2 linked regions of the Saccharomyces cerevisiae S288C genome follow. The protein of the gene in region 1 binds, or shares a complex with, the protein of each later gene. Each region holds a gene or a part of one and is shown on either strand. Other genes may lie near its edges. A codon is read from its position in the direction of its gene.

Region 1 (3,760 bases):
TTTCCTTGAAGTCGTCGGAATACGCTCTATGCGCTATGGTTGATTTTTAATTGTTTTTTTGTGTTGAGACGCGAAAGTAAGGAATATATAAAGAAACTTAAATTTGCTAACAGAAGAAATATTTTATAAGCTGTTTGTTTATGTATTTATGAAACCAAACAAAAAATTGCCTGTATAATGAAAGAATTTTCATATTTGATAAGCTTCTATGTAATTAAGGAAAGGAACCAAACGGGGAATATAGATACGCAGTGAGAGAAACAGAAGTGATAGTAAAAAAGTGAGTAGGAACGTGTATGTTTGTGTATATTGGAAAAAGGTTACAATAGAATATAACCCAGTGCCAAAATCCGATTAGATTCATCAATGGAAAATTCAGAGCTTTTATTAAGGTTCTCCAAAAATTTTAAAGGTTTAGAAAGAGCATGCAAGACAAAAGTATTCATTTTGCCCCAAGTCTCCTTGATTATGGTAAGACTTTTCATAATGAATCCATCGGAGTGGAAGTTTATCTGAAGCGTACCCTTATCAAACCATAAAAACTGCTCAGTTGAAGAAGGAGATGCAGTGGCGGGCGTATTGATTGTGTCGCTAGAGGAATCTAAGGAAAGTAAAGAGGCCAATATGGAGGGCCGCAAACTTAAAGACTTAACTGTTTGGTGTTCGTATGCTGCAGTGACAAAGTATGTCACACAACATCCAAAACTAATTCCTATAGTAATTGAAATGCCCCAAGTGAACCAGCTCGTGAAGAACTTCTGCTTCTTTCTCTTGGGTTTTTTATTCGATTTAGGGGATTTCTTTTTTGAGTTTTCGGCTTTTTTGTTACGACAATAGGACCGAGACTTTGTATGTATAGCTTCGTCATCATTATCTTCCTCATTCACATCTTCTCCGTATTCCAAGGATAAATCTTGTAATCTTTGAAACATTTTTTTCAAATCTCTTTTGTTGGTCACAACAACTGGAGGAAACAATAATTTAACAAGTTTATTCCTTAAGAATGACTTCAGGACGTTTTTCACTTGGATGACTTGCCCAGGCTGGCAGATCGGTATTACAGGCTTGCCTTGAGAATATTGAACGATCCTGTTTAGCAGAGATACCATCTCTCTCAGCTCCTGAAAAATTATGACAATCCCCGTATATTGCGGGAATGTTGCGGAATCGTGATATTTGGGTAATTCAAAAAGAGATTGGTATTCTTTTGGTATTGATTGATAAAAGCTGGAACCAGTCCTTCCCAGTATTAGAAGGCGAAAAACTGGATTCTTTTGTGTTAGTGATAGTTTGGGCATAACAAAAGAGTTTGTCGAAGAAGTCAAGCTTTTTGTTATCGTCACACTATCTTCCTCAAAAGCCTCATCTTCATCACCATCATCATCTTGCTCGTTAAAAGGAGTTTTTTCCTTACCAGGCAAGGGCAGCGATATTATCTTCTGTAACTGTTTAAAGGGATGAGACGGTGAAACGACATTTGCTCCTTCTTGTCCTTGTTTAATAATATTTATTATATCAGCAGCAGGCGCTTGAAGCAGCTCTTGTTCTTCTTCAGAAGTATCACTAGATGATAGAATACTTCCATTAGTCGTTTGAGAAGAGCACCTTTCTGGGATGAAAGAAGCGCCCAAGTCCAAAGGCTGAATGGCTTGCCACGATCCTGATATACTATCGTTTACATTGTGGTTGCCGGATATGTCAATGGACGTAACCAAGTTCTGTCCCATTGGCGAAGGCGAATGCCCTGTCTTACTCAACAATTCCAATACTGATAGATGAGGGTCAAGTAAGCCTTTGTCTTCCCCAGTTTGTGCTTCAGAGCATGTGTGAATAGTCGTTGACGAGGAATCAGGTGGCATGCTTTTAGATGAGGATCCTTTACCTTCCCTTTGTTGGTATTCCAAAACCATATGTTTACTGTTCCTGGCAGATTTTTTTTGCTTTTGTGATTAGGACTTCAATATTGCTTATCGATAAGAGAAGTCACAACTGATAAGAAAAATTGTCAAAAACGAGAAATGGGCTTTGTAAGAAAATATTTCAACAATAACCCAAAAATATAGATTTTAAAAGTATAATGATTATGCCTCAGGAAGCTTACTGCACCTTATTTCCTAAATAACTTTTTTATTACTTAATAGATCTGTTTCTTTTTTTTTTTTTTGTAAAAGGGGTGCGTCAAACAATAGATATATGCTCTAGACAGACGGTGATCTAAGATATTTGAGAAAGCACGAAACAAGTGCCAAACAACTTCAACTTTGCTGAAGTAGTATAAACTTTGCTTTTACTATGCAAACTGTGAAAGACGATTTGTCCTTTCCATATTTGTGTTTTGAGCGATGGGGATGTCGTCCCTTCAGCCGTCTAAAAAAAAAGTCATCAAGCGTGAAATCTATCATCCCGTTGTTGGTTTAAAAGAATATCGTGCATACTGTATAAGAGTGGTATATACTGCAACACAGACACGGGAAGGCCCAATCACCTAGTTTAAATAACGATGTTATCTATTAGTCTGACGACCGTATCGGGTTTTTCGCGGTCAGTCACGTATACAGCACAACTAATGACTATTGGCTGCTGTTCGCTGGTGTTTTCAACATCGGAGAGTTCATCAAGAGTCTTAAAATCTGCTAAGGAAACATAGTCGATTTTGAAATCGTGGGAATCAACGTAGGGTGCCCATATTTGAGTCACAGTATCGATGATTTCTGATCTGGAGAGACGTCCCCCTGGTGCTAGTCTCCTAATAGCATTTTCCGCAGCTTTCAGCCCGCGGTAAAGGTTTTCAGAGATCTTTAAAGACTCTGGACAAAGATATTTGTTTCTACTACTCAGAGCCAGTCCATTATTGTTTCTTACAATAGGCATCATTTGTAGCCTTGTATTAACAAACAGTTCGTCCACCATACACTGTAAAACAATGAACTGTTGAATGTCCTTCTGCCCAAAATAAGCCACATCCGCCATAACGATATTGAATAGTTTAGTCACGACAGTTGCCACGCCCCTAAAGAAGTTAGGTCTCGTCTTCCCCTCTAATTTTTCACTCAATCCAAGAACACTAACAAAAGGGCCTTTCTGCTCTTCTATGTCGAGCGGAATTCCCTGTGGATACATCACGTGTGCATTAGGAGCAAATAGAACATCCACCTTCAACGACTCAAGCAATTTGATGTCGTCTGGCAAAGTTCGAGGATAGTTATCTAGATCTTCCGTTGGCGCAAACTGGGAGGGATTTACAAATATACTGACCACAGTATAGGTGTTTTCCTTCACAGACTGCGAGATCAAACTAGCGTGACCCGAATGCAGGCAACCCATTGTGGGAACGAACCCAATAGTTTCTCTAAATCTAGTTTCCCTCAGCTCCTGTGTTCTCCATTGAACAACTTCTTCGACAGTATGGAAGATTTTCATCAATTCTATATGGATATGCAGTATAAAAACTTGTATAAAACAGTGCAGTATCAACACACACCACTTCTTGTACACATAAATATGTACGCTACATCGAGAAATGTTCATTAATCTCTTGTTGGAAAATATGACAAAAGAAAAAAACTCGTTAAAGTAACATTTACCCGGATATCTGTTCAGCCAACATTATAAAAAAGATGGGCGCTTAATTTCCACTCTTACAGATATCACTCCTTCTAATTAACTTACATCAGTAAGAAAGTAAAAAGAGCAACAATTCGCCACAAGAAGGTCTCTGTAGGGTCAATAGTAGCAGGGCTCTTGTCAGGGAAAGACTGTG
Region 2 (2,999 bases), on another chromosome or scaffold:
CATGTTCGACATATAGATAGCAGGGTAATGTACGTGTATATTTTAATGTAATAAAGAGGCCTTACTAGACGGTAAAGTTAAGAATATCGAGTGAACTTTTCCTTAAGATAAAGGTAAATATAGTCGAGTATTTATTTATTATTCTTTTCCACTATACAGTATTTAAAATTCTGTAAGAAATTGATTCTACATACATAAGACAAACGAACAGGTCAGAGAGAATCAGATTTTTGGTTAGCAAGAATACATTTTGGAGAAGAAAGACATTAACTCCACCTTACTGTATCATCTTATTTGCTTTTTCACTCCTTCCTAATATTTTTTTTATTTTATTTTGAATTTCTTCCTATTTCTGATGCATTGAACAGATCGTAATCTGTAAGTAAATACCATAACGTGCTCACATTTGTCTCCAAATACTGGTGAAATCTTGGCTCCGTTGTGTACAAAACTTCTTAATGAATATATATATATTTTTCCCTTATTTTATCTTTTTTTTTCGAATTTTTTATGTAAACATTCTTATACTGGAACAATAGATGGCTAATGAGTCCCTATAATTTCGATTTTAGATGTTAACGCTTCATTTCTTTTCATATAAAAGACTACCTGCCAAATGTATTTTCTCCTGAGTAAGTGACATACAAAAACCCGTCCTTATCCTTGTGTTCTTGATATATGGCAGACATCAACGCCGCAGTAGGTGGCAAAGTATCATTGACAAAAATGAAGATGGCCTTCTCAGGGGGTAGCATAATTCTCTTTCTTATAACATAAACAAATTGCCCTACGGTAAGGTCAGCAGGAACTAGATATTTACGCTTATCAATCTCTGGAATATCTGACTTTTCAGCTTTTTCGCAAATCACAGGTATCCTATTCTTGAACCTGTCAGCAATCCTCTCCGACTCCGCCTTCCTTTTTTCAAATGGATATTCAGACTTAAATGTAGACTTCATGTCTCTAGTAATTATTTTATTATGATTTTCTCAACTTTACAATTATTAGATTCTCTTATCAATCCCCTCCTCAACCTTTAATGGTTCCCCTTTTTGTATTTCCATAATTATACCAAATATTTTTGCCGCCGCCGAAAATAACCGGCCTCCGGGTGATGATATATCATGTGCTATGATTTCACGGGTATTATACAACATTATCGGTGGAGACAGTTAGCATTACATGACTCTAACTTAAACGTAAACTTACACATATACATCTATATCACTTCGAGTAGAGAAAAATTTGTACGTATTTATATGAGTTGTTTTCATAATTTGAACACTTTTAATTTGAAAATGGTGTCATTAATAGATTGTTCTTCATCACCAATTGGGTCTGTCTTTGAGCCGTCATATTTGGCAATGTCGGATCTACAGGTCTTGCTTAACATATCAAAATGTTCTTTGACAATGGCTTCAAAGTCGATAGTATCTTTAACTAATTCGTACTCCACTAAAACATCGTCGGTGGCTTCCAAACCACACTTCTTTCTCAATTTTTGGATTCTGTTGACCAGCTCTCTTGCGAGACCTTCACTCTTTAGTTCAGAGTAAATATTTGTATCCATGATGATTAACACGTCTTGGTCGGTTCTGGTTTCTTGTCCAGCTTGGACAGCAGATTCTGGCAAGCCTCTAATAGCATTCAAATCTCCTTTAACCAGTTCAATACCGGCAACCTCCAACTTTCCGCTTTCCAAATATTCCCGTACTTGCTCAGAAGTGACTGATGGTAGGGCATCTTTAACCTTCTTTGCGTCTTTTTTCAACTTCTTACCCAATACAGGCCAATCAGCAACTGCTTTATACTCAACACCATATTTTGCCTCATCGGAGGTGATAACAACATCACGAACATTTAATTCCTCGATAATGTAGTTTTTCAAGGCTTCTACATCCTTCAAGTATGATTCATCACTGTGAAGGATGACCAAAGTCTTCAATGGAGTTTTTAAGGAAATAGTTTTCTTTTCACGAATGTTTCTACCCAAATCGATAACGGATTGCATTCTAGAAACTGCAGTTTCGATGGCCTCGTCAAAGTATTCTTTCTTGACCACTGGGTAAGATAAGAAATGGACTGATCTTCCGTCCTTACCGTATTTTGCTAAGACAGCTTCTGGGATGTATTCCTTCAGTCTCAAATAAATGCTTTCTGACAAAAATGGGGTGAATGGAGCCATGGCACGGACAAATGTGAATAAGGCATCGAATAAAGAATTTAATGCTTTCAAACAGTCCTCAACACCGTTTTCACCCTTCAAACGACGACGATTAAATCTAATATACCAGTTTGTCAATTCATCAATGAAATTCAAAAGTTTTGGAACGACAGTGTATAATTTGTACTGACCCATTTCTTCGTGAATGAATTGTACTAGAGATTGCATAGAAGCTAAAATCCATCTGTCCATGACATTATCACTTTTCACAGAATCATCATATTGGAAGTCGATGTTAGACATCTTTTTCAACAAGGCAATTTGACCGTCCAAAAATTTAAAGGAGTTCCACCATGGTAGTAAGACCTTTGAAACAACCTCCTTAACACCCTCTTCTTTGAATTTCAAACTTTCAGCTTTTAAAACAGGTGAGTTTATCAAGTACAATCTTAATGCATCCGCACCATATTTGTTCAGAACAATGGATGGATCAGGGTAATTTTTCAAGGATTTAGACATCTTTCTACCATCGGCAGCTAAGACAATACCAGAGACGATGACGTTCTTGTATGGAACAGAGCCAAATAGATGGGTACCTAAGACAGCTAACGTGTAGAACCAACCTCTTGTTTGATCCAAACCTTCAGAGATGAAATTAGCTGGAACTCTTTCGTCAAATTTTTCTGTGTTTTCAAATGGATAATGTTGAGAAGCATAAGGCATAGAACCAGATTCAAACCAACAATCAAAAACTTCTTCAATTCTCTTTAAGTCACCCTTACCTTGCTTGGATGGAATTGTCAATTTGTCAATGACATCACGATGCAAGTCAGTG

What was found.
Region 2: the proteins of ATG32 (region 1) and ATG8 are in contact, whole or in part, in a crystal structure (PDB 3VXW), measured with the Saccharomyces cerevisiae proteins. Residues at the interface, in NP_012120.1 of Saccharomyces cerevisiae: Ser85 (codon at 1,658), Trp86 (codon at 1,655), Gln87 (codon at 1,652), Ala88 (codon at 1,649), Ile89 (codon at 1,646), Gln90 (codon at 1,643); in NP_009475.1 of Saccharomyces cerevisiae: Glu17 (codon at 911), Ile21 (codon at 899), Arg28 (codon at 878), Pro30 (codon at 872), Val31 (codon at 869), Lys46 (codon at 824), Lys48 (codon at 818), Tyr49 (codon at 815), Leu50 (codon at 812), Val51 (codon at 809), Pro52 (codon at 806), Leu55 (codon at 797), Phe60 (codon at 782), Val63 (codon at 773), Arg67 (codon at 761), Phe104 (codon at 650).

The regions. Positions count from the first base shown.
Region 1 is NC_001141.2:73,864-77,623, forward strand, and holds ATG32 (mitophagy protein ATG32), read right to left. Parts: upstream 1,911-3,760; coding exon 321-1,910; downstream 1-320. Other genes in the region: pantoate--beta-alanine ligase PAN6, read right to left, coding at 2,491-3,420. UniProt on the Saccharomyces cerevisiae protein: Mitophagy-specific receptor that recruits the autophagic machinery to mitochondria and regulates selective degradation of mitochondria.
Region 2 is NC_001134.8:79,773-82,771, forward strand, and holds ATG8 (ubiquitin-like protein ATG8), read right to left. Parts: upstream 960-2,999; coding exon 606-959; downstream 1-605. Other genes in the region: isoleucine--tRNA ligase ILS1, read right to left, coding at 1,271-2,999.